Linked DNA regions of Rhinolophus ferrumequinum. The protein of the gene in region 1 purifies or fractionates together with the protein of each later gene. This does not show direct contact. Links are inferred from orthologs where the notes say so. Each region holds a gene or a part of one and is shown in the gene's direction. Other genes may lie near its edges. The genes, in order: MECP2 and KPNA3.

Region 1 (15,873 bases):
CTGGTTCAAGTGGAATTATCCCGTTTTGGAAATGAGTGATTATCTGGAAGGAAACATTCTGCAACCTATGCCAAAATGCTTGATGGCAAAGTCTAATAACCCATGGAGGAACAGCGTTCTGAAGAATGACAAGCATTAAAGCCATGAAGATCAAGAACCGTGAAAAAGCCAAGCATCTGTGGAGCTGCTCTTCCAAAATGGAATGGAAATGTCCGGAACTGTGAAGATACAGAAATAATAACTCAGAGAATGAAATCAGGGGTGGAGGGAGAATAGGTGGGAGAAAGTTCCAGTAGGCTGATTTCCTTATCCTTTACTCAAAATTGCTCTTATCAATAGACCTGGTCTAATGTTGACCAACGAAGTAGTAAAAGTTTCAATGTGTTATTTAAAGGTATAAGTAAAACCACTAGAAGAACTAAAAGTAATCATATAAACAAAAGTTTGGAGGAGGAGAGGGCAGGGAAGGAGGGGAGGGGACAAGGAGGATAAGTCTGCTAATTCCCTAGTCTTTCAAAGTAGAGAGTCCATAGATGGGCCTGCCCCAGGCCTGTTTGTCCACAGATCCATCCCTCACCTTTCCCTCACCCTGCAGAGTAAGGCCTCACTACCGGCCTTTCCCAGGCTCCTGGCTCCTCTGGTTTCAGGGTGGGATTGACCATGAGAAGCGGGTGCAAGAGATTAGAGAGTGGAGGAGGGCAGCAGCCAGAGTATTGCCTCTCTCCCTCTGCCCCAGGAGCAGCAGCTGCAGTTCCCACTGAGGCCCTCCATGATTCTACGTCTTCTCCCCGCGTCCCTCCAGCCTGGGGGCGGCAGCAACTTCCTGCCCGTGATCCTCAAGCTGCCTCACTAACCCCCATCACACTCCCAGTGGTCCTAGGGGCCTCTTTCCTGGCATTCAGTGTTCTCGATGGAAGTGCTTTCTGTTTTCCTGGGAGGACCCTAATGGATAAAATAGCCATTTTGAGACCACAAGAAGGAACAGCCCATGCCGGCATCATGGCAGAGGCAGGTGATGAATGAACCACTCGCCAGACATTAAGCAGGAAAGAGTCCTCAAGAAATTTCAAAAAATAGAAGAGAAAATAATATAGAATGCATTCTTTTTTAAAAAAATTAGTTTCAGACATACACAACAATGTAATAGTTCGACATTTAGAACGGATTCTTGGAGTAGAATGTTAACACAAAAATGGAAAAGAAAAGAAAACAAAAGCCTACCTTTAAAATTTAGAACTCCCTTAAAAGAAAAGCCTTTGGTTAAAAAAAAGAAAAAAAAAGAAAAAAGAAAAAAATCCAAGAAAAAATTTCAGAATATCTGAAAAACAAGGATGATGCGAACAGAAAGTACCTACTAGTTGGAACACAGAGAAACCAGATAACTAATAAATCAATTCCGAAACTGGTTCTTTGAGAACCCAAAAATAAGACAAGAAGATAAAACATTAGCCAACCTAAGCAAGGGGAAGACAAAAAGAACACAAAGTTAAAACCCCAAACTGGGAAATAACATCAGACACTGACGAAGTCTCTAATCTCGCAAGACCTCACAGAGGTGGCCTTAAGCCCCCCGGGGTCATAAGCAACTTGCGATCCAGGCAACAGAAAAAGTACTAGTTACAGCAGGGGAATCCTTATGCACAGAGAAAATTCTCCTAGAGACCCCTGATGCCCGATTGAGCTACTGCCACCAATTCAGATGTCACCTTGAGACCCAACACAGTCCAGGAGGAGCAGAAGGGCTGCGGCTTCCCAGAAGCCCCTGGAGGATTTGCCTGAACTTCTCATTGGCCAGAACTAGGTCACCAAGCCACCACACTTCACCACAGCAGGATTTCTTCCTGAATCATACAAGAAAAGAGTGGGAGCCAGACTAGTATATCCAGGGCTCTACTGACAAGGCAGAAGGGGGATCTGCCCAGACTGTATCTGGGTTTCTTCGGGACTCTACTCAGTGATCATTTGTCCCTTTAGGCACCAAAGCTGCACTGTTTACATCAATGTCTTTTCAGAGTGTCTTTGGATAGCTGGTAAGACAAGTCTTCCCTTGAGTCAACATTTTTTTTGGCCCATCTTGTGCATTTACTCTGAAGAACCTTAGAATCATATCGTCAAGTTCCATGACACTCAGGGAGAAAATGGATATTATTTATTGGGCCCCTTCAAACCCCAATATGCTTTTGTTCCCCCTTCCTCCACTCTCTCACCTCTCCCTTAGTGATTCTATTTCCATCTTTACCACAATGGGATGTAAATGTTAACTCTGACAACGTGAAAGTAAAGTGTAGTTGACACCAAGTGATCAAGGATACGTTACTATTGAAAGTTAATGGAACAAGAGGTTTGAGTGTATTGTTTTAAATCACAAAGAACTAAATACAGCATCAATATCAAATATGGTGTGTCAGGGGTTCCCAAGACCACCCTCAGGAACACCCAGGCCTGCTAAGTTAACCCTTTACTACACAAAAGGGGAAGAGGGCTATGTCCTATCCTGTAACAAAAACCTATTCCTCCATGTTTTGTGCATGGGTTGACTCTAAACGTTGAAAACCAAAGACAAAAATTAACATTATGATGTTCCTGTAAATATTTTGTAATGCCAGATCAAGAAGAGGCATGCTAGGATTATATTTCCTTCTTATAAATCTAGTGTGATGATCTCTGGACCGTTTGAAAAGAGAATTTTCTTAACATCAAGGTCCAGTGGATTCTCTTTTCTTACACACTATCACTTGGTAAAATTATAATATATTTTACCTGGCTTCTTATTTTGATCATAACTTTCTTGTGAAGTACTTTCTCCCCCTTGCTATTTCTAATTCTTTTCCTTATTTTCTTGTACTAATTACCATCATATTCAGTTTTCTTTAGACTCCCAATCATACCATCTAATATGTTGAGTTCACATACACACACACTTAAAAAAAATAAATAAATTCTTGGAGTCCTTTCTCCCAGAGCCTGCCATTCTCTTAGTCCAATCTGGATTGATTGCCAATCAGCCCTTCTGCCCAGTTGGCATTCCTGTTATTTCCTGTCACTGCTCTCCTGGATTAGATCCACTGTGTTGTGGATCCCACATCTTCTTTTTTCTTGGCTTACACCTTTGTTTTGCTGGAGAACATCCTCAAGTAGCTTCCTAAGAAAGTATATCTGAGAGGTAAATTTTCTTAGTTCTTGCATATCTAAAAATGTTTTATTCCATTGTCACACTTGGTGGGTATTTTGGCTGGTGTAGAATCCTAAATTGAAAATCATTTTCTCTTGGAATTTTGAAAGCATTATCCTATTATTATTTTTTAATTGTTGTTCTATTATCTTTTATCATCCAGTGTTGTTATGAAGTCTGATACTGTTTATTTTTATTCCTATTCCTTTTTCTGGGTTTTACCTTTCAAAAATTCTTGTTAGTTGCTTTCTGGACTTCTTAGATCACTCTTCATAGTCCTAATATTTTCTCTCATACTTTTTGTCTGTATTGTTTTGTTTTGTTTTCTGGGAGACTTCTTTGGTTTTATCTTTCAATATTTCTATTGAAATTGGAATTTCAATACTCATTTAATTTCCACTAATTCTTTTTTTTTTTAAGATTTTATTGGGGAAGGGGAACAAGACTTTATTGGGGGAATAGTGTCTACTTCCAGGACTTTTTTCCAAGTCAAGTTGTTGTCCTTTCAATCTTAGTTGTGGAGGGTGCCGTTCAACTTCAAGTTGTTGTCTTTTCAGTCTTAGTTGTGGAGGGTGCAGCTCAGCTCCAGGTCCAGTTGCCGTTGCTAGTTGCAGGGGGCACAGCCCACCATCCCTTGCGGGACTCAAGGAATCAAACTGGCGACCTTGTGGTTGAGAGCCCACTGGCCCATGTGGGAATTGAACCAGCAGCCTTCAGAGTTAGGAGCACGGAGCTCCAACCGCCTGAGCCACGGGGCTAGCCCCTCCATTAACTCTTTCTTGTTTCCCACTCCTTTTACACAATATTCTGTTCTTGTCTTTTGGATGCAATATTTTCTGTCAGGTCTCTGAATAAGCTAATCAAATTAATTTTTTCCCCATATGTTCCCTGCATTTTCTGGGATTTCTCCAAGTTCATTTTCCCCCTATAGGTTACACTTGACTATTTTTAATGTTGCAGGCCTTATTCAAATTTATGATGATCCCTAGTGGTTGGTTAATATTTAATAAAGAAGGACTGGATAATTATTGTGGATTTATTCTGCTTTAGGGCAAATAGTTCCATTTTCCTGCTATGACTCTTTTGTGTAGGGTAGGGAGCTGAGGAACAGAGTTTATATCCCACAAATGCTGGAATGAGGAGAAAATTGTTCAGGGGTTACCAATACCCATGCTGGAAGCCCTAGCTCTCTACAGACATTTCATTCAATTTCATTAGAGAGCTGTCAGGTATTTTCGCTGCAGGTTTACACCGGTTGTCCCCTCAGCTGTCTGTTGAAGGAGAGGAGGTTCCAACTGGTGCAGTCATTCTGTATTGGGCCCTTCAATCAATCCCCAAGTGTTCAGTCCCATTTAATTCTATTGCCTTCCACCATATGCCTGCTGATTCGGAGCCTACTCTCTGGTGTTATATCTGATAAACTGGCTCCCACTTCCTCTGTAGTTCCCTTGTCAATTTTAGGCTGGATTTTTCCTGCCTGTTTTATCCATCAACTAATTCTCATCTGCTTTCCAAAATGAATGTTGAAATCTGTCCATCGAGGATAACTTCCTATCCTCACCACATTCTCTTCACTCTGATGGGTTTATTCCTTTCTGTTAATCAATACTTTTCTTGCGGTAAGTTTCTAAGGGTAAAGAAGGAAAACCGTGTTTGTATATCTGTGTATATGCGCACGCACATGAGTGCAAGCATGATGTATCAGAATCAATTCATTTCTCATCTATTTTCTAATAAATGTACTTAAGGTTATTAATTTTTCTAGATGACCATTTTGGCCACACAGCATAGGTTTTAATGTGTATGGCTCTCATTGTTGGTCACTGCTGAAGAGTTTATAATTTTAGTTTTTGTTTCCTCTTTAACCAAAGAGTTATTTTGAAGCCTGTTTTAAAAGTTCCAAATGGAGAGTGTTTTTTTGTTTTGTTTTGTTTTGTTTTGTTTTACTTTTGCCCATTCTCTTGTTCCTAAGTTTTAATTTTATTGTATTGTTGCCAGAGATTGAACTGCAGGATTTCTACATTTCGGAATTTACTGAGATTGTTTTTTTTTTTTTGAGGGGTCTAATGTATAAGCAACTTTAGGAAATGTCCCATAGTGTTTGAAACAAATTTGTAGTTTTTATTTACTTATTTTTTGTGATATCATCTGGGATGTTCTAAAATTTTGTGCAGTCTGTTTTACCCTTCTCATGAAAATATATATTTTCTATTAGCCGAAGGGATTTTTAGACAGATGGAGAAGTTTGAACTCTATCTTCCATATCGAAAAAATCCTTCTGGTTGTTGGTTTTCTGTCGTGGTTGCTATCTCTATGACGTTTTCCTGGTTTTTATCTTCTACAGTCCCATTTTTTAAATGGCCCATTTTTAATTCACTAGTAAATACTTTACACTCCAGTATATTTTTCTACTTTTCAATGGCGAGAGTGAAATTGTACCATTTAAGTCCTGTTTATTCAAACTAAGGGATTTAGCAAGACCCTAGACGCTCTCCATTGGTTTTTTTTCTTTCAAAAATGTCTTGACTTCTAGCCTTGTACACTTACTCTTCCCAACCTAGCATTAACTTGTTATAGTATATAAAAACTCCTGGATTTTGATTCAGGCAAAGAATTTCCAGATTAATTTGTGAAGAATTGACATCTTTATTGTGTTTTTTAATGTAGGTGTTTTGGCATTTCTTATGACGTTTGTTCCCAACTGCTTTATAATTTTTGTAGCTAGAGTAAGTTGAATGTTTTTCCCCCATTAAATTTCCCAGCTCTTGGCTGGATCTCTATGTCTGCATTCTAACAAGCAGGGAATCAACTTGGAATTAATTGGTCTTTCTCCTTGCTGTGAACTCCAAGGATGAAGTTTAAAAGAGAATGAAAGGAGAAGCACACGTGTTTTATTTTACACAAGTGATGTTGCCCTGTAGATCTTGTTCTGTTTCTTGCTTTGTTTCTACTTCACACCATTAAATACAATGTTTGTTCTAAGTTTTTTTTGATAGATACCTTTGATTAGATCAAGAAAGTTCCCTTCTATTCATAGTTCTCTAAGTTGTTGGGGTTTTTTTTTATCATAAGTGGCTGTTGAATTTTATCAAATGCTTTTTCTGCATCTATTGAAATAATCATATAATTTGTTCCCCTTAAATTAGTTAAAGTTGATTTTCTAATTTTAAACCATCCTTGCATTCTTAGGATAAAACTCAACTTGGTTATATTATTATATACCGCCAGATTCAGTTTATTTGTCTAGAAGTTTTACATCTATTTCCACATCCAGTATCATGCTGTTATTCGCTCGTTATAATAGTTATATTAGTTTCACAAGTTTGGAGAGATTTCTTCATTTTTTTTTCTGTTTATGATTGGAATTACCCACTCATTAAAGATTTGGTAGAACTCGTCTGTAAAACTCTCTGAGCTTGTTTTATTATTTTTTTTGGGGGGAGAGATTTTTAAAATACATAATCAATTCCTTTGTGGTTATCGAGGGTCTATCCAGGTTTTGTTTCTAGAGTCAATTTTGGTAAGCTGTGCTTTTCTAGGAATTTATTCATTTTGTTTATATTTTCCAATTTATCTACCATCTATTGTATAATCTATTCTATCTGTAGGCTGTGGCTCCTTTTCATTTTTATTATAAGGGGCTGGTCTCTTCTCTCCTTACATGTCACTTCTTAGAGGGTTGGCTTTTGTTTTTCAGCTTGTCGAAGAATCAGCTTTTGATGTACTCAATCTATCACTTGTTTCTGCTTCATCAATTTCTGCTCATTGTTATTTTTCTTCTATTTTCTCCATTTTTACTATGTTGTTCCTTTTATAGCTTCTTGAGTTAAATATTCAGCTTGTTGACTTGTTGACTGCTTGTTGACCCAAGAGCCTGCTCAACAGCTCCACTTGCACGTCTAATAGGCACTCTAAGCTTAACATGGCCAAAACAGAATTCTTGATCTGTACCTATAAAAACGTGCGTTTTCTACAGGGGAGCCCAATCGTGGTGAAAGGCACCCATTTACTCAGTTGCTCAGGACAAAAACTCAGGAATCATACTTGTTTCTTCTGTCTTTATACCCTACAGCCAATCCTTTCTGCCTGATTTTGAAAACATGGCTTGAATCTCACAACTTTTCAGAACCTCCACTGCTACCATCCTAGTTAAATCCACTCTTACCTCTCCTAGATTGTTGTCAGGAGCTCCTGACTGGGCTCTTGCTCCTAGTTTTGTCCCAGCATGGATAGTTCTCCACACTGCACCTACAACATAGATTTGATGGTGTCAACTCCCAGTTCAAAATTCTCCAAGGGCTTCTCAGCTCAGAATAAGCTCCCATTTCCCATAGTGACTCCATCCCTCTCTAGCCACATAAGCTTCTTTGTTAGTCCCTAACACGCTGGGCATAGTCTCTCCTCAGGGCCTTTTTACTTTTCTGAAATGTTCTCTCCCCAGATATCTACATGGGGGAATAAAATGAAGGCAAAAGCCTGTGGATATCTAAATAGCACCTATTCACCCTTGTTTTATCTACCTCAAAGCCTTTATCACTATGTTACATTATGTTACATAGTTATTTGTATGTTTAGTATGAATATTTCACATAAGAATGTTAGTTTGCTGTCTTATTCAGTTCTGTGCTTCCAGAGCCTGGAACAGTGCCTGGCATATAGCAGCTGTTTAGTAAATGAATGGCGGTGGGGGGGGGAGCCAAATCAGAATTAGAAGATTCCTTGTTAATCACAGGACTTGTACAAGGAGCATTTGATGAATTGGAGGATGGCTGGAATCAGAGTAAGTTCGCCTTGTCAAGCAGTCTTATCTTGAACACCCCACTGACTAAAACTTTTCTTATACTCTTATTTTTTCAAAACAGAATTGCTGGCTCTTAGCTCCCAAGTCACCTCTTCTAGGAAATCTTCCCTTTCCCCTCCAGGTAGAGCTTAGTGCTGCTTCCTCTGTGCTTCCACTGCCTTCTTCACACCTCCACCAAACCATCTGATCCAACAATGACGGGTCTCATGCAGCCTTGTCATGTCCCCTTTTCCCCCACCACAGTTTCACGAAGGCCAGAGCTGTGATTTGTTGTCAGTTTATTCCCTGCCCCTATGAGAGTCTGGCTCGTGGCAGGCTCAGATGAAAGAATGCAATGGATAGGCCTCTTAAACCAAGGTCTTTCAGCTGGAACGTCAGGCTCCAGGGCAGGCAACTTTGTTGCTTCTACTGAAGGTGGTGACAATAAGAAAATGCAGGTGCAGTGAAACACTTATTGCAGCTTACTTGGTGTGTTTGCGGACAGCGCATCAACCGCCCAGGAGGGCCGCGCGCAAACAGGAGTGCGAAGGCTAGGCCTTCACTTGCCCCAGCATCCGCAAGGGCCCATTAATCCTTAATATTCAAATTCCTCCCACTAAACCAGCCCCTCAGTGCCCAAGCCGCCTCTTTTTCCCAAATGACGGCCAACGGCAGCCAATCGGCAGCTGGGCAGGGGGTCCGCCCCCTTTTCCCTGGCCAGAATGGACACAAACTATCGCCAATTGGTGGCTCCGCCGCGGAGGACCCGCCCCGCCCCGATCGCCGCACCCAATGGCAGACGGGCTCGCGGCAGCGCCGGGGGCGGGACGCGGGCGCGCAGGTGCAGCTGCGCGCAGTCCGGCCGGGAGGGCGGGGCGCGACGTCGACCGTGCGGAGTCCCGGCGTCGGCGGCGCGCGCGCTCCCTCCTCTCGGAGAGAGGGCTGTGGTAAAAGCCGTCCGGAAAATGGCCGCCGCCGCCGCTGCCGCGCCAAGCGGAGGAGGAGGAGGAGGCGAGGAGGAGAGACTGTGAGTGGGGCCACCGCGGCCGCGGGCGGGGACCCTTGCCGAGGGGCGGGGGGTAGGGGCGGGACGTGGCGCGGGAGGGGCCCGCGGGGTCGGACGACACGGCTGGCGGATGGCGTCCCTCCTCTTTACCCTCCCCCTCCCGCCGCCGCCGGTGACGGCTCCCCCCTCGGCCCGTCACCCGCACTTGCGGGTGACCGTCCTCGCCCCGGCCTCCCCGGGCCACCTTCGCCTGGCGCCCCGCTCTCTCCCGCCTTCAGCGCGCATCCCGGCCCCCGGCCCCACGGGCGCCGCTGTCGCTGGGGCTTCGCTTGTCTGGGCTGCGCGCGCGTCGTGCCCTTCTCGGGGCTTCGGGCCCGCGGCGCCGTCGCGCGCCCGCGGCCCCAGCCTCTCCCTGGATCGCGCTCTCCCCTCTCCCTCCCTCGCGCGCCCCCTCTCCCGTTACTCGGCCCCCCCCACCGGCGCGCGTGCGCAGTCCGCCTCCCGTCGGGAGAGTGCGCCACAAGGGCTCCTGCGCTCTCACCCCCCATCTTCAGGCTCTGCCTCCCCCTCCTTCTCGCCCATTCCGTGACTTTCTGCCCCCATTGCGAGCGAGTCGGTCCACCATCTCCTTTCCCATCCAGCAGGAACAAGTAGGTGGGAATTTATTGTCCACCCACAAAAGGGACTAGACATTGTGTTCCTGGTCCCACAACTCATCCGAAAGAGGCTGTTCTAGTTCCCATCGGGAGCCGTGGATAGGGGACTGTTTGTCCGGCAGCACCTGAGGCTCTTCAGTGGGAGTGCGCCTCCAGGGTCTTTGGGGTTGCGGTGGCCTCAGAAATATGAGCGTCCTCCCATCCTCCCCCCTCCGCCGGCGATCTTCCAGTTACATAAGTGGAGTGGGACACCGTATGTAACGGGCTCCCGTAGTCCTGGACGCGTCCTGCTCTAGATCACCAGTACCATATGGGGCAAGTTCATCGCATCGCTGTGGTTCCTGTCAATTGTCTCTGAAAGTTTATTTTCTTTTTAGTTTGGTTATGCCTGACTCGCCCACACTGAAACTCAGGTGACTTTTACATGGTGTGGCAATGTGTCTGTGGTTTTGCGCTGAAAACTTAAGGTCATTGTGAAGAGTCTAAAAAGAGTGCTCTCACAGAGGAGAGACCCTTTGCGATATTGCTAAGTATGGCTCGGAGAGGGGGAAGCTTGCTCTGGAATACCTCTGTGGCAGTCGTTTCTGTTGTGTGTTCCGTGTGGATTGGTCACAGCAGAAATGGGCTCAACCACAAAATTGATATTCCTGACTCATGGTCAGGCAGATGTGTGCTTCTGGTTATTTTTCCAGGAACAGGAATGGGCTCTGTGGAGCCATTCACATGTTGTGTCTGCTGTGTGGGATCAGTACCCCAAGTTGTGAGACGGTAGGATCAAATTCAGGGGGTGGTTGGTGATCCTGGAACCATCCCTACCGGCGTGCGCTGATGCTAAGTGGCTTAGACTTCCGGCGTGTGATGATGCGAAGTAGTTTAGACTTGGTAGGACTCTCCCAAGTTACAGGCATTTGGTCATGCTAGAAAAACGAAGCGTAGTCAGGCCTTGGTAGTAAAATTCATTGTTAATGGCAGTTAGTACTCTAGAGGAGAAATTTGGGTTTCATGGCTGGAATTTTCATCTGGATCTCAGTAATTGCAGTTAACAGTGAGATTGAGCCTGGCCTCTTGAGTCTCTTGAAATATGCTAGATCCTTATTGAAAATACAGGGTCTGGATTTTTTTAGGTCTTCTGGGAATTTCCCCCAGGGATTTCGGGGAAATGGGCTTATTTGTGGGCTTTTTAGGACTTGCACTTCAAATCCCAGTGGGGAAGCCTAGAAAACACTTTTATTTCCTTACCCACACATGTCAGAACTTTAAAGGGCACAATCAATCTAGTAGAAGTACAGTTGATTAAGTAAGTCGCCACAGAGCACCCATTCGTACATGTCAGCTAAGTGGCCTGTCACTGAGGTACATCCCGTCCAGAACACAGACACGCAAGCCTCACTTGACAAAGATTCCAAGGTTTGTACATCTGAACCTGAGATGTCACTGGACAAGGGCTTTGCTTTGTTTTGCCGTCGTTGGCAATGTGTTTGCCTCTTCAGATGCCCTCCAGCCAGCTGTTTGTCATACCCCTAGCCCTTTAAACAGCACAGGTAGCTTCCAGAATATAGTTTATCTGCGAAGTTCCTGGTGGTGTGTGAAGTAAGCATGTCCTAACAGCTTGAAGAGACCTTCTATGGCTTTCTTGCTCATATTGGCCTATCATGCTGTTCTATTTCTTACTGTTACAAATTTGCCTGGAATGCTTTAAACCGAGTACCAGGTCTTTGTTTCACCTGGCAAAGCATGATGCCGTCAAACCGTACTCCCAACTTTTGGGCTGTTTGTGTACTGGGGGGTGGGGTGGGGGTTAGAATACAGTTTTGCATTCTATTTGTAATTTCCAGTCAGAGCCATTGTTTCCCTGCCTGCCCTGCCGCTGAGTGGCCGGATCTAGTGGGGTACGGAGGCGAGCTGTGGAGTTGGACAGCACAGCTGGCTAGATGAGTCCCATATGATGTTGCCCCCCACCCAAATACTCCTTCCCCCACGTGGAGATCAAATGAGAAACTCTCTTCTTTAACTTACAATAAAGAAGAGCAGCGTTAAAATTGTTGGTTCCCGTCTCAGGCCCGTTTTCGCTGCTAAGGTACCTGCCTGGGACTGTTTGCATGATAAATGATGTGTCTTGCAACCAGTCATCTTTTCTAACAACGAATATCAGAAGAAATCTTTTAATTGGCTCAGAGCAGTTTGTTGGAAGGCTGCCTGAGAGTCCGTGAGAGAATAACAGAAAATGTTTGACATTTGTAGTAACTAGTGTTTTAAACGCACGGGGGGTAAAAGAACAGCCCTAGACTGGCGCCGAGTTGCAGGGAGTGTGGCAGGACACCTGCTTGTTTCCACTGCCCTCTGTTATGGTGACATGCGTGCAGACCAGCCTCCTGTGGCCAACAGACACAACCGTTTTTCTTGGGTAGAGTATTACTGTCACTCCAACGGAAGGACCTTGTCCTCAGTGCTTCTGTAACAGCCCTCTCTGGGCAAACTGCCATTGTCACCACTGTGCTTCTCCCTTGTTTTGGTTAGGACACACGTACATGGGTTCCTCTTCCTTGGACTCACACAAAGGTTGCGCTCTTCTGCCTTTATGTACCCTCTTCTGCCTTTCTCTTGCAAGGAACCTTTGAACTTATTGAAAACTTGATTTGCATGCTATTGCTTAAATACTTGGTTCTACCACTTTGATGGTAGATAGGTGTGTAGGGGATCTGAATGGAAATGGGAATTTGGGGGCAGGCAGGGCACCCCCACTCCTATACCAGGAGAAGGCGGTGGCCATTCCATTAGAGGCCTTGGCCTTTACAGCTTTTTCAAGGCACACCTGTGTTGGGTCTGCTGGCATATGGATGTGTCCTCACTGTAGCTGTTTTGCTGTTACTGCAGAAGTCTGGACTCGGGAGCAAGCCTGAGGAAGTGGTCACTTCTCTTCCTTGCCTAAGAACCGGGGCTGTTATATATATGGACCTGCAAATCACTACTTTATTGGGTTTTCACCTAACTGCTCTCTTTCGCTGGCTCTTTTACTTCTCCATAAACTCCTTGAGTTAATCAGAGATCTTAAACTTTCAGAGTTGGAAGGAACCTTAGTCCAGCTCCGTCAGTTTACAAGTGAAAAACAACTGTGGCTATGAAAAGCTGTGGCTTTTCCAGGGCCTCCCAGCCAGGAGACCAGTATGATTTTTATTATATATTAAGTTGGTGCAAAAGTAATTGTGGTTTAAAAGGTTAAGAATAGTTGCAAAAACTGCAGTTACTTTTGCACCCACCTAATGGCTAACTGAGTAACACTGTTACCTTGACTTTGGGATTTCAAAGCATTCTGTGACTCGACTGTTTAAGAGAATTATAAGGCCTCACTGCACCTCAGTAGATAATTCTAGGAACTATCCTGCTCGTTATAGACCAGCTGTAAGTAAAAGACTTGGTTGGTGTTGCCCTTCCTCTGAGTTTGATTACACAAGTAATTATTTGTGTGAATATTCTCTAAGTTGTACACGCTAGGCTTTTTTTAGTCTAAAGATAAAAGTGCTCCTCTTGGGCCAGCGAGGTATTAGAGATTAGCTTATATAGGCCAGTTTAGGTTTTAACAAGGAAATAGTGGTTATCTTGATGATGAAAAATGTAATGACAAAAGTCCTTTTTGAATATGTACTCAAAAGCAAAAGAGAAACTGTCAGATTAATAACTCAGTCTGTTGAACTTGGCGACTTGCTGATCTGAGAAGCTTAAAAGTGATTGCTCTGAGACAGACTTTTGGAGGATGGCTTTGGATCTCCCGGGGCACTTGGTGTCCACTGGTGCTGCTTCTTTCTCTCAGGGTTAAAGCCCCTTTCCACGATGTTACAGCGGCTCGTTGCAGCTTCAGCTGCTTGATAAAGAAGGGAGACTTTGCCTCTGGATTTCACATGTTCTTTTTGGGATGACATTTTAATGCTGCATGTTCTCTTGAACATGTATTCTCTCCCCGAGTATTTCTGTATGACGTGGTAGAAGAAATACTTATCCGAGATCACCACTAACGGTACGCTTTATAGTGTCACAGAGTCCGTCAGAGGAGGCAAGACCTGTCATAGTGTCGATTCTAACATGCATGAATCTTTCCTTTATTTTAGCACTGTGTGTTATGTGCCAGTAATTTGCAGTTTATCCTTTGTTTCTAGCTAGGTAAGCCGGGAAATAGCATAGTACTTTGTCTATATGTTTATCTTCAAAATGTCCCAAATAGCCCTGGGAAAAAGGTCGTGCAGCACAATGGGGGCTTTCAACTTACGATTTTCTTTGTTTTAGGCTCCATAAAAATACAGACTCACCAGTTCCTGCTTTGATGTGACATGTGACTCCCCAGAATACATCTTGCTTCTGTAGACCAGCTCCAACAGGATTCCATGGTAGCTGGAATGTTAGGGCTCAGGTAAGTAACCTTCCTTTTTTTTTTTTTAGTATATGTCCTGGTTTGGCCATCTGTTTTTAAAAAAAAAAAAAAAAAAAAAGGAAAAAAAAACAAGATATACTACTCTTGGACAGTATAAAAGTACCCCAAAGACTAAAGACATAACTGTGCCAAACTGTGCCATATAATAAAAAAAAGTCACTTCCCTGAGCCCTGAAAGGTCAGTTTGGGTAGGGTTACTTGGTAGCCGCAGCGTGATCTGGGGGCGGGCGTCAGATTAGAGCCGGAACTGGTGATCTGCAACTTCAGTTCACCTTGAAGCAGGTCAGCTGAGCTGAGAGTGCTTTGACTGAGCTCTTCACCTGCCGCTGCTGCTGTGGCCCAGTGGTCTTCAGCGGAGCGCTTTGTTTGCTTTCGTTTTGGGTAAATAACTTCCTGGTCACCGTTAGTGAGCAGTGGTACCACGCACTTTCAGATCCGGGGACCGGTGTGTGGTCCCCTAGAACGATGGCCTCCTGAAAGCTGTCACAGAACAGTGGAGCCCATGGCTAATGGCATGTGCTTGCTGCACTCCTCCCACGGGCACTACAGAGAGCAGCACCCAGACGCACGTCTGGCTCTTGAGACTCTTAGAGCAGAATGAATGCCTTTTGAAACGCTGGGGATCCAAGCCATTCGAGGTCTGACACTCAGGTGCTTTATTGGCCGCACTTTTGGCTACTTTGGTGCCATTGTGTGGATTTTAATTTTGTAAAATGAGTGGTTCTTTCATTTCTCAACTGTCAGGCTCAATATCTCAAGCTTTTAAAAACAATCAGTGGTCACTCCACATTTGTTGTTTTGACACCTGGATTTTCAACCATTCCATGTGTTAAGGCAGAACATTCTCATTGAATTTTTCCATTTCTTTTCCTGAGGAAAAAATGTGAGCTTACCCATATGCTGCCATTGCGATTCCAGCTGAGACTCCCAAGTAACACTTTGTTGTGTCTCTCTAGTGGTTTCTGACACCTCAGTCTAAAGCTGTGTGGACATAACAGATAACTGACTTAGGGACTCCGTGAGGGGCAGGGTTCGGGGGGAGGAGAAGAGAAGGTGTGGACGGAAGGGAGGAGCATTGCACTGCCTCCAAGTCCCAAATTTGGTTTCACTCGTGATCCTGTGACTCAAATTGTCATTCCCTTTTGCCGCGGGATGTACCCTGGGCCCTGCTGACAGGACGTTCTTTGTATGCCAAGTATTTATGCTGGTGGGAGTTGTGTGGCTGGCGCTTTGTGCATTGTCTCAGAAATTGTGTGGACTACATGTAATATGGACAGTGAATGGGTTTCTTCTGGTAGATAGTAGGCCTGGGGGGTGGTTAAGGTTTTTAATAGTCTTTTTCTAAGATCACGAATGGATTTTATAAAACAGGCCATGATGACTCTATACAATTTCTTCTAAGAAATACAGAAGAGATGTTTTTTAAAATACCTCTTATTATTTATGAATGGGAACGACATGGCCATTTGAGCTTCAAGGAACTTGGAAGGAAATTCTCAAAGGACAGAACCTGTCTTTAGTAGATAAGTGCTTGTATCTTCTTATTTTTCTTCTTTTCCTTTTAAAGAAATTATAAAAATAATACATGCTTTTGTGGAAAATTCAAACCTTTTTAAAGTATATCAAGTAAAAAAGTGAAAGCTCCCTGTTACTCTCTGCGCCCACTACCCAGAGTAACCACTGTTAGTTCATAGCTTAACCTAAAGCCTTCCGAATCTTCTTCTCAGGCTATACAAACATGCACCTTTTGTATTTTTAACAAAACAAGGATAGTATTATACGTATTCAGCATCTATCCGTACGGTACATTTCTGTATGCCTCATTTCTGTTAAATA
Region 2 (15,642 bases), on another chromosome or scaffold:
TCTTTTGGAAAAATTCTATTGTATATTTTACTTAGGGATTATTAATACATTGGCAATGTTGATTATAAGAGACATAGCAATTTGAAAAAAGGAAAAACAAATTGTGCCAAACAGTATCCTTACTACAAGATTCAGTTCTCTAGGCATTTTCAAATAGGGAATCGCAAATCCCTCAAGTAGCAGGGGAAGAGGAGTACGTTTACAATCAAACTAATTAACCAATTTTTTTGATGTCTACTTTCAGATGTCTGGTTATCTTGTTTTCCATGAATGCCTTTAGAGTTGAATATTTACAAGCTGGAATCTTTAATGCTTCATATTAATAAACAGACTACGTCTACTACAAACAGTGATATGCAAACGATACACAGATGCCTACTTAATAGAACTCTAGATGATAGGCCCTTTTTTGTCTGACCTCTGATTTAGTGGTTTGTCTGGCTAGGTCATCGCCCAGCCCTGCTGACTTGACTGCAAAATCTCCTTTCAGTAGAGATTAGCTTTCCACACTTGTTTAATTCTTCCTTTCTTGGTAGGCTATTTTCCTTTCTAGGCTTTTTCTTCTTTTTTTTACAGTTGAATATAGCTTCACCTCCTGTGGAAACTTTTGTTTACACTAGATCGAGAGGCTGTTTCCATGTGCCGTGGGCCAGAATGGGGCACCTGGTAGGTCCTGCAGGATATGGGTAAACTGCAGATCCTGAAGACGCCCCAGCTCCAGGCTGTAGAATTACTCCTGCCCAATCTCTGTGCATCTACCCTGAGCAAAACAAATTACAAACAGGGGACCAACTTTCCTGGAATCAGATTTTCTGGACCCTGTCTCCTCTTGAACATGCAAAAGTTAATTAATGTTTTTTTGCCTCACACTCTTCATCTATTAAATGGGGATAAAAATAGATTCTACCTGATAATATTGTGAGAATTAAATGAAGTAATCAAAGTAAGAATTCAGCATAGCTCCTGGAACATGTGCACATGCAACAGTTATTTATTATTATTGTTATTATTATTTTTATTATTATTTTATAACCATAATCCCTGTCCTCACCATAATTTTTTTTATGCCATGAAGAAATGTGCTCCTCAGTTTTACTATACCATTTTAATGGATTCCCCCCCAACTGGTCAGTTTAATGTTTCTTCTCTATATGAGTTTGAGTTTAGGTATTTATTCATCTATCCAACATACATTGCGGCTCCTCTAGGTACCAAGTACCACTGTAGACACAGCGATACAATGGTGAGTCAGACACAAATACTTGCCTCTGGATGCTCATGGTTATTGGAGAAGATGACACGGAAACAGATACCAAGTATGGTATTCATTCAAAGAAGTCACTTCCCATTAAGTCTAGTTTTCTCAAAATAACTTCCAGCAGGGATCAGCTGCAATTGGATGCCAAAGGGCTGTGTTTTGTTTTCTGGTGTTGGGAGGAGCTGACGGATGTTAATAATAGGTTAGATACACCAGACATTCCATCCACTGGAGTTCACATGGCGTAATAAGGTTGTTTAGACCTTAATGTGAATAAAGTATTTCTTCTCTGAGATGAATAACTCTGAGAGAGTGAAACTTTGGTTAGGGAGTGATTTGGTGGCCTCATGCCTTTGAGAGAGGGCAGACCTGGCGTGTCGTGCATAGTGGGATTCTCTGGAAAATCTGAAGGGCCGTGAGGGACTGGACACTCAGCTTTTAGTCGCTCTGGCAGTTATGATTATTACCATCTTTGGATTTCTAATTTGTGAAATAGAGAGAGCTAGGAAAAGGGATGCTGCTGGGCTGGCTAGACAATTTCAGAGATTCGTAGAATTACCTCTGAGGAAGGAGACACAGAGATCACCCAGTCCAACCTGCTCATTCTCTAGGTGAGGCACTTGTGACTTAGAAGGCAAAATAACCTGTTCAAGGACACATCGCTTGTTACTAAAGAACCAGCAAGTCACTAAACTTCCAAGACAGTGCTCATCTTTAGGATACCATATAGTTCAATATCTAGAATATTGTAAAGTTATAACTAAGGTCCAGGATCATGACCTTGAGACATAGCAATGTACTCTAAGTATATTCTGAATTATTGAATTATGCTTTTTATAACTAAAGTATTCTTACTACAATTTTAATATTGTTCATTTTATTATATTCTGATTATTTGAGAATGATATTGGAAGTATAATGTGTGTGTCCTAGGCTAGGTCAGCCCATTACTACAAAATGAAGTCACCTTATCTGTATTACTAATAAGTGTTCAACGGCCAGACACTGGCCCTCCTCTAGCTGTCCCCAGTTATTTCTGAGAGTTTATCAGGTTCTTCCTCTCTGACTTTTCATCTTACTGCCACAATGCTGTGTCTACTGCTACTGACTGTCATAGGTCATGAGATGGTTGCTCTGCTGGGCACAACTATTTACATGGCTGATGCTCCCTGGAGAGGGGACAGCCCTTGGGGAGGAGAATTTGCTTTCCTAGAACCCCTAAGGGCTGTATTAGTTCTTTGGGGAAGCTGGAGATCTTCACCACCACTGTCTAAGACATTGGCCACACTAGAAACCACTTGTCTTTCTTTGGACTTGTTGCTCCCATTGCTCCTGTTGGCATCACAGAACCTTCCAGGCCTTCAAACCAGAGCCTCAAGCCCCACCTGTCCCAGAGAGAGATGGAGATGACCATCCCAACCAGGCAGCGTTCCCTGGAGAATTAGAGATAATGTATGTAAACATCTGGCACATAGTAGGTATTCAGTAAATGAAAACTCTTATTATTTAGATTTATTTATCACCCAAGTTTTTAGGAGCACTGCTAGGTAGTTGGGTTGATGAACTTGAATGCCATTTTCTTCAATTTTTTGTGCTTGCCTTTTGCTTCAGATGCTCTTAGACAGTCATGAATAGCCAAAACGTGATCATGAGGGAAGGAAGCAGTTCATTCAGAAAACATATGTTGGATCCAGTTATTCAAGGCTGGGGAATACAAATGTGTACAAGCCATTTCAAGGGTTTGTAGGTGAGTGAGAGATAAAAGACTGTACATAAATTGCAGGAATACAAAACAGTAGGTAAGTTCTTCTGAGGTTCAGAAGAAAAAGATATCCTGGTTGGAAAGATACAACTAATATTAATATAGTAATTTCAAAGCACTTTTACATGCATTTTAAAACTTGATTTTCACAATAACCCAGCGATTCAAATTTCTCATTTGTAGATACGACGACAATTCAGGGAATGACTTGCCTGGGCTTGCTATGGTAGGAAGTCAGCCGTAGGGTCTGAGTGTTCAGATTCTGTAGGTCCCTCCACTGTACCGTGCTGGGAAAGCTTCACGGAGAAGGTGACCTCATGGCCTGAGTATTTAAAGAGGGACCGATTTTGACAGGAAGATAGGGCCAGGGCTTTCTAGGTAAATCAAACGGGAAAGCTATGAAGGCTGGAAAGGTTAGGACATATTTGGGAAAGGTGATAGACCACGTAAGATAAAGCACAAGCTATGTGTGGGGGAATCAGAAATAAGAAGAGTGTATTGCACTGTGGCTGGGTCACACATAATCTTAACTATCAGACCGAGGATTTAGAAATGATTTGACAGACAATGGTGGAGGGGAAGAGATATATTGAATATGAGGAGAAGAGATAAAATCAGGAAGATCTGGAGAGGTGAATCAGATTTTTGTGGAGAGGATAGAGGAAGCAAGGGAATCGGTTAGGAGGCATTAACTAGACTTGTGAGGGGCATGGGAAGAAAGCTGGATTCTGGGAGCGTTGAATGGCGAATTAATATGGAGACTAGGTGAGGGAGTTGAGAGAGAGGGCGGCAGTAAAGATGGCTCCAAGCTTGAGTGGAGTCCCTGGAAGAATGGTTAGGCTATTAACTGAGTTGGTGAATTTGCAGAAGGAGCTGACTGGGGAGGAAAATCATGAGCTCCTTTTGGCATCTGTTGATTTTGTTGCCTTCTCTGCATACTGCCACTTGCCTGTCCGCTGGGAAGGTGGGTTTAGTGAGTCAGAGGAAGAAGAGTTTGACCACTCAGAGGGCCCTTCCTTTCTGTTTCTGCTCTGCTCAGCACTCCCCTGTCCCTTAATAGAAGTGCCTAATGAATACAATGCTTAGCATGTGATGGACACTCAAAATATGTTTGGGAGAGGAGGTCCAAGATGGTGGATTAGAAAAATTATATATATATATATATATATATATATATATATATATATATATATATATATATGTATATATATGGAAAACTCCATTTAGAACAGTTGTCAGAAGTTTTAGGGCAAAGGTGAAGACTAGAGTGAGGGAAAAGGGATGGTTGCTAACAATGAGAAGCCCAAACCTGAGTCACTGGAGGTGTCATTTCTCAGACATTAAGGCCTCCAAAGCCTGGTGGGAGCTACAAGTGGTAGAAATTTGGTGGAGTTAAGAATATGGGGAGACTCTGAGGCCAAAGTAGCAGATGTGTGTATGTTGAAGTCACTAGGGAAAATGGCAAAGAGTAAAAGTTATTGCATTAGACCCAGGCAAGAGGGGCCCCTGATCTTGACCCTACCCTTTAGAGGACTTCACTCTGGCTCTCTCCTGATGTACCCCACCCCGTGGGGAGTTCATGGGGCCACCAGGTCACATTCACTAGAACCTGTGCCTCAAGGCCCAGCTCTGGGTACCGGGGCCCTGGGATTCCTGCTCAAATGGTCAAGCCTGCTTTCAGGATCTTCCCAGACCGCTTTCTCGAGTCCATCTTCCTGGGGGCTCATGAGGCTACCGCTTTGCACACTCCAGGCCTGAGCAATGGCCAAGGGGCATCTCTTGAGGCAGAGAGGGGGATGGAAATAGAGCTTTGGTAGCGAGAGGCAGGACATGAACCTTGTGGGTAAGGGTATACATATATGTTCTTAAGGTCTATTCCAGTGTGGGATGGAGCCAGGAGACGGAAGGGGAACAAAAAAGTGGGCTGGGAGGTGGCTTCCAGGCCTCTTTGTACCACCACACCCTGAAGCAGAAGTCCAAGAAGTCAGGAAATTTAAATTCAAACCCAGACATCCAGGTTGTAAAGAACATTCATTTGTCAATGTCAAAAAAAAAATTAGACTTTGTAAGCTTGACCTGTAACTTCTAAATACTTAAATATGTGATACAAGTATATAGACATCCATTTGCAGTCTTATCCTCCTATGTTAGGAGTCACAGGAATCATCATGTTACAAAGATCTCCTTGCTATGAGTCTTGAGCTTCCTTCCTGTTTCTTGACACTCACCACACTTTTGGGGTGAGAACTCGTTTTATTGCCTGTCTACTCTGATAGACACAAAGCTATGCAGAGGCAGGAACCAGGCTGTCTTGTTTACAAATATATCCTGGTGTGAGGGCAATGACTGACATCTGGTAAGTGCTCACTAAATATGTCTAAAACTCTAAAATGATGAAACACTTACACACTGGATAACAGCAAATAGGATGAAGAGAAGTGGTAGAGGGGGTAAAATAACCTGAAAAAAGAATGCCTTGATAAGTTATAATAGAGATTGAACAACAGTCTGGAAGTTTTTCTCTCCCGTTTGGGAAGAGCTTCAAACACACAACTTTAATTGCCTTAAGAACTATAGTTGAAGTAATGCTAATCCATTTATTCTAAGCTTTAGGTGTGTGTGTGTGTATTCTCCCCTTTAAACGAGCGGTTGGACTGGGATCAGATATTTCATAGTGAGGGCCTGGAGTTCTCAAGTGACTTATTCAGTGAAATGCAGAAAAGAAATGTGAATCGACATTTAAAAATGAAAAAAAATAACTCAGCTTTGGTTTTCCTTGAAAAATTGGAGCTTGGCAAGACTGGCCCACAGTCCGACATGGCAACAGTGGTCTGAAGCCTTTAAATGGGACTGTGTCTATCAACAGGCCACGCTCCACCACTCATAAAACAAATGTCCCAAAGTTCAGCCACCAAATGACTCTGAATTCATGACCCCTGGACCTCTGGCTCTTTAAGGCCCCTTTGCTTTGAAAGAATGTCTTCTTTAACCTCTTTATGGTTATGTTTCTACCAATCTTTGAATAACCCCAGTGTCAATTGAATTATATTATAACCATCGAAATACCTGCTTCTCTCTGCTAGAGATTCTGAAACTGAATTCTTTCACATATAACCAAAGAAGCTCACCTGCTCCAGAAAGCAACTCTCTATTAGTAGTATGGATCCAAATTTCCCTTGACCGGCCCTCCTATGACACTAAACAGAGAAGCCAGATGGGAGTCTGCCGACCAGGGCTTGACTGCTTCCTGAAAGCTAAGACTACGTGTGGTGGCAGAACAAGAGGTGTTGGGGGCACTGAAATGCAGGAGCTGCCAGAGTGAAAGTTGGAGAACCGGGCTTGAAGGATGATGAAGAAACCGATAGGCGCTAGAACACTAATTTGTTCAAAGTATTTATTGAGTATGCACGAGCCAAGCACTGTTTCGACGCGAGGGATTCAGCAATAAACCAGCCAATGCCCCTGCTTCTCACTGAACTCAATTCCCGTGCGGATGCCAGGTAACACACACATACAAAACATATATACATACATGTGTACATGTCAGGTGGAAATAAAAGCTATTTATAAAACCAAAGCAGGGCAAAAGACCAGCCATTGAGGGTGGATGCTATTTCAGGAGACTCCAGAGAAGCCCCGCCCCCTCTCTCCCAATAGGGCACAAGATGCCCAATCTCCGGGGAAGCTCCTCCCACTTCCCCCGCCCAAAGGCGGTCTTTGGGGCGGAGCTTTGCGGCCCGGGCTCTCCGGGCGCGCCGCGCGGAAAGCCGCGCGCTTAGGATTCCCGGCCTTCAGGTTCTGTCAAGGCCAGGAGCATTAGACCGCCGGAGCCTGGCATGTTGGGAACTGTAGTTTGCGTCCACAGCTCGGGGTTTGGGGCGGGGCAGTAAAAGCCGCCAAGTCTGGCTCCATTGCTGGCACAAGACTTGTAGCACTGAGGGGTTGTGGGGAGGCCTTGCTGTGGGGGGCGGGGGGTCATCCCGAAAACCCCTGGCACTTACAGCAGGGCGAGCGTCCAGGCCCGGGGCGACCCTGGGCACGTGACCCCAGCCAACCCGGGAGCGCGCGGTTCTTCAGCGCGGTTCCCGCCCCGCCCGGCAGTCGGCCAGCGCCTCCCCCGGCGCTGCTGCCACCTCGCGCTCGGAGGCGTCACGGAACGTGCTCTCCTCTCCCCCTCCCCCTCCCTTCCCCCTCCCGCGCTCCCCCTCCTCCCCCTCCCGCACCGAGACTCGCCGCCGCCGCCGCAGCCGCAGGAGTAGCCGCCGCTGGAGCCGCGCGCAACCATGGCCGAGAACCCCGGCTTGGAGAACCACCGCATCAAGAGCTTTAAGAACAAGGGGCCGCGATGTGGAAGTGAGTGTGCTTCCGCGGTCTGGGCCCGCCCGGCTCGCCCGTCTGGCCGCGCCGGCCCCGCGGTGGCGGGAAGGGGCGGGGGGCCGGCGCCGGGCTGGCTCTCGCCGGCTCGCGGTGGGTCGGAGTTGGCCGCCGCCTCCCATCAGCGCGGCCCAGGGCTGGGCGGAGCGGGCGACGGATACGCGGGCCGGCTGTAGCCACCCTCCGAAGCTGCCGGCGCGGGGGACCGGGAAATGCCGGGGTTTTCGGCCCCGTCACGCGGGCGCGGCCTGCTGTCTGTGAGGAAGGGATGTGGAGCTGAGGCGGGGTCCGCGGCTAGGGCCTCGCGGGCCGGGGATGCTGCCGCCCAGGTCTGTCGATCGCGCCGCCGAAGGGGCGGCCGCAGCTAGCACCGGTTGCCGGTGAAACCTCCGCCGGCGCAGCCTCCTTGGTGCCTCCCGCGCTGCCGCACATGGAGCCTGTCTCTGCCGGTCTCCGCGCCTACTTTCTGCCAGCCGGGCCCAGGCGGGCGGTGGCGGCCCGCAGAGGGGGGTGGGGACCAGCCGGGTGACTGACTTGTTTGAGGGTGGTGGATGGGGGAGGGTAGGATGCGCCAGGACCGTTTTCTTATATTCCAGTGCTGTCCTTTGGACCAGTCGTGCTGAGCTGTTCCAGCCCACACTCCTGTTACTGCGGGCATTTGGAAGCAAGCTGAAGGTGGACAATAGTTTACCATCTATTGTGTTGAGGCTTTGGAAGCGACGTTGTTCCGACCTCCGCTCACCGGACCTGTTTTCTTAGCATTTCTTACTTGTAGTGGGGGTGTGCACTGGATAATTTCCTTGACATGTTTTACTGAAATAAATTGGATACATAGGTTCATACGGCCGTGTAAATATCTCTTGCTCCAAGCTGGTAGAATTTCCATGTGGTTGCAAAACTGTAAACATTAATGTGGTCACTCAGTTCGTTGCTACACAGCATGTTGCCATTGTCTCATTAAGGTGACATTAGCAGGTACTATTTGCAAACTCGGCTTATTGAGGCAGCGCTAGAGGTCTCTCTGCAGCCACTAAAAGCAACGTAGTATAATGCACAAACTTCACTGGGACTCTGACCTCTGAATTTGTTAAGGGAAAAGTGGTTTTAAGTCCACAAGCTCCTTTTCGAATACCAGGTGACATGGTTTGCAGTTTTGTAGTTCTTGTTAAAGGGACAGTGTGAATAAGAAGTGTACATTTTATCCTCTTAAAGAGAAGTGTTGGGGAAAATTTACCATCCAGCGTTCTGTTTTGTAGAAAAACAAAAAAAAACTCAGGCCATTTTTCCAGAGCTACACAATTAATACTAAATGGAAAAACCTAAGGAAATACTGTGGAATTCCCATTTGAATGAGACAACTAGAGGTCATCTGTCTTCTGGTCATGGTTAAGTGTTTGTGTGTGTGTGTGTGAAAAATACTTCTAAGCAAAAGTGAAATTTAGGAATAGCAACAAGAAATTTTGGAACTGCCTCCAATTATTAGTCCACGTGATGATAGCAGTTAATTTTGAACTTTTGCTATCAGTAATTGTTCTTGAAGCTTTCCCCTATTATAAAGCAGAACTTATGTAGTCTGACAAATACCCATATTGTTTGTACAAAAGAACTAATAACATTCTTCCCTCTCTTGGATATTAGTACAGGTTTTTGTCTTATTATTTGCCTCTATTGTGTTCTGGGATCTCAGTGATACCTAGTAAGGACTCCTGCACGTAATAGGTGTATAATAAATATTTGCTGATGACCAGAATGTAACCAATGACTTCTACAGGCATGATTGCTAAACCTTTTAGCCTGAAAATGTTGGTCACAACAACATTACATTTCCCAGCATATATTGGAGTAACTAAGGCATGAAATAGCAGACATTCAAATGGTAGTTCTATGTGATAGACACTACTGAGAGCTTCATGATACCTCATTTAATCCTAATAACAATTTTATGAGCTAGGTATAGCATTATACCCACTTTATAGGAGGAAAGTACTTTAGATGGGCAAACTCAAGCATGCCTGTGTAGCCTGCACAAGGTCCCAGAGTGGGTATGAACATTCATTCACTAATTGTCTATTGGGTATCTAATACAGTCAGGTCTTGGGGATACAAAAGGGAATAAATTTCAGTCTGTACCTCAAGGAGTTTATAGTTCAGTAAAAGTGATAGAAAAGTAAACTGATAATTACAATACAGTACATCACTAAGTATATTCTGAGAATGCGTAAGAAGATCCTAACTTGGTGTTGAGCAGTCAAGGGAGAAGTTCTGGTTGATTCCTAGTGGATGAATGGGAGTGAGTAGATCCTGAAGGATGAAAGACAGTTGGCCAGAGAAAGGGAGAGGGCGAGGAAGAGGCATTCCAGACTTGAGGGAGCAGTAATTGAGACCAGGAGAACGCAGTAGGACTGCTGATAGAGAAGGGAGTGCTAGAGATGTGACTGAAGGGTGAACTGCGGTTGAAGCTGATCAAGTTCCTTTACTGTGGGTTTAGGTATAGCTAAGACTAGATACCACACCTAATTTAGTCTTACCCATTAGAAACTAGACTACATTAGAAACTTACACTACAATGTAGCTCTGTGACTAAGTAGTTCTGATTATTAGGCTGTTTCCAAACAGTGAGGTATACTTTGCTGAGGTACCGTTTTTACCTTTCACATATAGGATAGACAAAGGTTGCTATGTGCTGCTTACATATAATAAATAACATTTTCTAAAAAAAAAAATATATAGAGTTAAGTCGGAGAATTGTGAGTGGGGAGAGGGTTGAGAAAGTAATTTCATATTCAGTCGGGAATGGCTTCATAGAAGAGAGGTTGGTGAATTTTACAGGAAATATGTACCAAACTTGAACGGCACATGAGAGATTAGTGAATAAAGATCCAGGTGAAAAAGAAGAGAGATTAGGTTAAGGAGTGAAGAGATGAGACTTCAGATGGCCCGTGGTAGTCTGAGAATATGACTGTAGCAAAGAGTTGCTTGGAAACTTCTTGATCGGGAGAGCTGTAGGAATTTATTTCAGAGGAGAGTTAGAAGGTGTAACATGATTAGAGCAATGGAAAAAGGTAGTGGCAATAATAAATGTAGAATTAATTCTGGAGCCATTGGAGCTGTTATCCTGTATGCAATGAGGAATTTTCCAAAAAACTGAGACTGGGGATAGTCATGGTCATAACTTGGAATGAGGATTTGCATCTCCTCCTCTTCCTTTCTCGTCCTCTTCTGTGTGAAGCTCACAGGAGACAAAGGGGATAAAGGCTGTCCTGAGGGTGACGGATAGAGGTAGGGGAGGGAGTCATTAGCACTGATAGCAGTTTGGAGCTTGGGGAAGAGAAGTGGATTTTGTAGCTAAAACTAGGGGACACATCGTGAAAATAATTTTATTTTCATGTAAGGCATTGGTTCTTAAGCTTTTTTCCTTTTAAAAAACATTTAAAACTTCAAATTATTTATAGAAAAGTACACAAAGCAGAAATGTTCCATTTAATGAATACTTACAACTCAAACATTCAGGTAACTGCCATCCAGGTCAGCTTTTCTTTTTCTTGCACCTGTATACCTCAAGGATGTGACATTTTCATCAGTAACAGTAACTATAATTATTATTTTAAAAATCTTAACACTTAGTGAGTGTTTACAGTGTACCTCAAGTGCTTTATATGTATTACTTATTCAGTCCTCACAATAATCCTATGAAGTAGGTACTATTATTATCCGCATGTACTGCTGAAGAAACTTGAGGCCTACAATTCTGAAGTACCTGGCCCTAAGTCACAGGGGAGTTAAGTGTCAGAGCCTAGACTTACAGTGAAGGAGCATGACACTAAAGCCAGAACTGCTCCCTGTGCTGTACTGTCTCCACTGAGTGGAGCCTAAGACGACCTGTATGAAGCACATCTGCAAGTTAATTAATGGGGAAAATATTTAAGAAGTCTTGACTACATCACAGAAAACCCTGTTTTGGTATTTTAAAACCTTGCTTATAAAAATTTTTGACATCCTATTTATCATTTGATTTATTGCCTTTTTTTTTCTTCTTTTTATTCTTACAAACTTTCCTTATTAGTAAGGAGAGCCAGTTAGTTGGTTTCAATGAAAAATAGTAACCCATACTCTTGGGCTTAATGCTTAAACTTTATGCTTTCGTCTCTAATAGTAGGTATTTTTATATATTTTCTCATTTGCAAATTCAGCTAGCACTACCAAACTTTCTTCTCTCTGGAACCTCTGTTGGTAAGTGGTACTATCAAATGATTCAAGCTTAAAACTTTGTCCTTGACTCCCTCCTTTCCCCCGTCACTTTTCTGTATTAGGCATCTGAAGAGCCATCATATTTTCACCTCTGTCACCAACCTGACTACCACTGCCCTAGTGTAGACCCCTGTCATTGTCACCCATGGAAGCGTGATAGTGTGTCCGGTTTTCCTATCTGGTATCGTCCTACCCCAGTGTATCTCGTGGATTGATCTTCCTGAAATCTTTTCGTGTAACATTCCTGGTAAGATCATTCCCATTGCCTTCAGGATAAAATTAAAAGTTCTTAGCATGCCGCACATAATTCCACAAAAGGCCCTACCTTTTCTGTCTCACCAACCACCCTTCCTTACGTCTCCTTTGTGCCAGCCATGGTAAAGTACTTGAGATGGTGAAGTAACCAACACGGTTTCCCCTCCATGATGGTACATGCTGTTCTCCTATATACTGTCTTTTGCTATCGGTTTAGTGGGGCTCACTCTCTCAAACCCTCTCTCAATTCAGAGTCCTTTGTGTATCTCTGGAACACCAAGATTACAATTCTGCCACATCATGTCATTCAAAAACACCCTTCAGAAGCTCTCCATAGGGCCTTTCTTGGTTGACTAATAACATACTTAGTTCTATCAGTTCCTTTTCTTTTCCTTCTGTATTTATTGCTGTCCTAAGTAAATTTCCCTTTGTCTTGGGATCAGTTGCTGTGACGTGCCACAAATTCTATGTGTGAATAGCTGTTAAAGTATATTGGCTCTGAAGAATCTCACTGAGGGTTTGGACATTCGGTCATTTAGTGACCGATACATAAAATTGAATACTCTTTGAGAAGTGAGACTAGAGAATATACTTGAAAGCACTCTGCATTTGGGAGCGAAAGTACCATATTGTTTCTTTCCGTGTTGACTCCAAGGCATTGATACTGTTGCCTAGCCCTCCTGTGACAATCTCTTTTTGCTATAATGTATTTCTGTAACGTGAACTAATTCATAATTGACTGGTAAAGAGGAATCATTTTAGTTAATGCAAAATTCATGTTCATGTTTGATTCTTACCAGCATGTTAACTGTTTCGCACTCCCAAGTAACAGCATTTGAAGGCAGACACAGTTGAAGTATTGAAACACAGTTGAACACAGCAAGCCCAGCAGTGTGTGCGTTGCCCATTCACCCGTATTCTGCCTCTCGGCCTCGTCCAACCGCACGTTCTGTCATAAAGGTGCTTATGGCGCCAACTGTCTTGATGTATTTCCCTCTTTCTTCCTGAAAATTTTCAGGAATCTATATGTCATATGGCAGATATACTGTAATGATCTTTTCTTGAATTCATTAACAGTATATATAATCTTTCCGGGTCCTGCTAGCTCATTGATTACTCTTTTTTTAGTTGGCTTTGCCAACTCTTTTTCCTACCCATTGAGTGTGGGCGTATCTCGGGATTCTGTCCGTGACTCCTATAGACTGTTCCTCTTGCCCACATCAGCAGCCCCCTTAGTTTTAACTGGGGGGTTCAGTGGAGTGGGGCGGGCGGTTTAAATCTGTTTTAATCATCTGCTAGAAATTTTTCCCATGAGCAGCACATCAAGTGTTTAAATTTATGCTCAGAGTGTTTAAAGCTATGTTCTGCCTTTATTTTTTCTTTCTTTCTGTTTATGGCATCATCATTTTAACTGTGACCTGAACTTGCAACTTGAGAGGCTTCTTGGACTTCTTCCTCATCTTCCACATTCAGTCGGATGCCAGTCATGTAGCTTAAGTCTCTGTGCTGTCTCTGCCCTGCCTCTATTCCTCTGCCTCCAGCCTACTTTCGGCCTTGTTACTTATCACCTGGCAGTTTGAAAGTTGCCTCCAAAGTGGTGTTCTTCCTTCAATTTATGAGATTTTTTTTTTTCAGTGAGCCTGATACCTGATTATATTTCTCCAGGGTAACCCCACCTCCCACCTGCCCTAGCCCCTTTAAACTCGAGCGACGCTGAACTTCTTATATGCTTATACATAATCTGGACTCCTGCCCTCCTCTGCTTGCCAATGCTATTTCTATTCTCAGGGCTATCCTGCTGACTGGAATAGCCTTCCCTGCCTCTGCTTGCCGGGCTGACTTCCTAACCCTCTTAAATACTCAACTCTGGGTGTAGATCGGAGAAATCTTTCTGAATCCCCTCCTCCTCCCAGGTTGAGTTAGGTACCGTCTTCATTCCTGGAAGAACTCTGAGTATATTTTTCTCATTGTAGTTACAACACATTTTAATTACGTTTTATCTCTCTCCTACTAGTTTGTGTGCTTTTTGAGGGCAAAAACAATGTATCTCCATTGCTTACTTCTTGGTACAGTGGATGGAATAAAGTAAGCACTAAAATATTTCTTGAAGGAATACATCCTACTGGGTACCATCAGCACAATAATTTTTCTAAAGTGTATTTTTGAACTGACACTTTCAATCTTTTAATGCCTTTTCCTATTGTTCCCCAAATCAAGTCCAAACTTTTCATTGTGATAAAGTATTGGGAGATTAAGACACATGCATAGTGAAACAATTAAATTTTTCCTTTAATCATAAAAATATTCTAATGTAGAAAAAGTAGAGAATAGTATATTAATCCCAGATGCATATCATTTAGGTTTAATAAGTAACAATTTGCTGTATTTGCTTCTTTTGTTTATCTATACATAGCAGACATGACATTTTACTCCTGAAGACTTAAGTCTACTTTTCTAAAAAATAAGAATGCATTATTGCATAAATACCACATCACCCTGACACAATAATTTCCTAATATCATCTAATCCAGTCTACATTTAAATTTCTCCAGTTGTCCCTTAATTTTTTAATTTTTTTTTTTTTTATGTTTGGTTTTAGAAGCATGATTAAACAAGATCAGATCATATTTGGTTGTGTTTCTTAAGTCTCCTTTAATTTAGAATAGGCTCCTCCAATCATTCTTTTTTGTGTGTGGTAAAATATATAACATTTATCATTTTAAATGTATGGTTCTGTGGTATTAAGTACATTCACTTTATTGTATAACCATTGTCACTAGCTATCTCCAGAACTTTTTCATCTTCCCCAACTGAAACTCTTGTCTCTATTAAACAACTGCATTCTTCCTAGCCCCTGGTAACTTACCTTCAATACTTTCTGTCTTTATGAATTTAAGTACTATAGGAACCTCATATAAGTAGAATCATATAATATTTGTCCTTTGTGACTGGCTTATTTCTCTTACCATAATGTCTTCAAGGTTCATCCATGTTGTATCATGTGTCAAAATTTTTTCCCTCTTAATGGCTTATTCCATTGTATGTATATACCACATTTTGTTTATCCATTCATCCTTTGATGGATACTTGGATTGCTTCCACCTTTGGGCTATTACCCCCTACCATTTTTTAAATGCTATTAATTTGTAGAAGAAATGGGGTTAGTTTTCTTATATCAAGTTGAACCATATGAAATTGTCATTTTTGAGGTTCAAAACAGCCAAATATCTCATATGCCTCGACCTAATAAAATGTACTAATTACTGGATTTGTCTGTTTCTTTGTGGTATGTCTTAACTTGTTCCTCCTATTTCTTACTATCCTACAGATTTTCTGTAAACTGAATGTTAGTTTTAAGGGTTTTATTATCTTCAGTTTAAGCATTTATTATTTTAAAAATAATACTTCAATTGGTGATGTTGTGTACTTCAGAATATATCCCAATAGTGGTGCTAAGATTGATCAGAAAATTCAGATGATAAAGAATAGTTTCTCATAATGTCAGAAAGTAACCTGACTTCTTGGTATCCTGTAAAGGAATTTGAAGATGCATCTAGAAAACATAATTTCAAAGTCAATGGCATTTTTGTCCTTAATTGACACCATTCCGAAATTAACTTTTTGTTTTTTTAGCATAAAATTTGGCTAATCTTATTTCAAAGTCTTTTCCTTTACATTGAAGGTAAAGTCATATTAAAAATAAAAGGAGGATGTAGCTATACTTTGTGGCAGTTTTGCTATTAAG

What was found.
Region 2: the proteins of MECP2 (region 1) and KPNA3 purify together in Homo sapiens (affinity purification with mass spectrometry; 3 studies listed by BioGRID and IntAct, counting the BioPlex papers as one, with this or other methods). This does not show direct contact. The link is inferred for Rhinolophus ferrumequinum from reciprocal best matches to the Homo sapiens genes MECP2 and KPNA3.

The regions. Positions count from the first base shown.
Region 1 is NC_046284.1:6,360,866-6,376,738, forward strand, and holds the start of MECP2 (methyl-CpG-binding protein 2), read left to right. Parts: upstream 1-8,822; 5' UTR 8,823-8,917; coding exon 8,918-8,979; intron 8,980-13,892; exon of another isoform or gene 13,893-13,990; coding exon of another isoform or gene 13,991-14,016; intron 14,017-15,873. UniProt on the Homo sapiens protein: Chromosomal protein that binds to methylated DNA. It can bind specifically to a single methyl-CpG pair. It is not influenced by sequences flanking the methyl-CpGs.
Region 2 is NC_046287.1:87,816,633-87,832,274, forward strand, and holds the start of KPNA3 (importin subunit alpha-4), read left to right. Parts: upstream 1-7,288; 5' UTR 7,289-7,303; coding exon 7,304-7,359; exon of another isoform or gene 7,360-7,373; intron 7,374-15,642. UniProt on the Homo sapiens protein: Functions in nuclear protein import as an adapter protein for nuclear receptor KPNB1. Binds specifically and directly to substrates containing either a simple or bipartite NLS motif.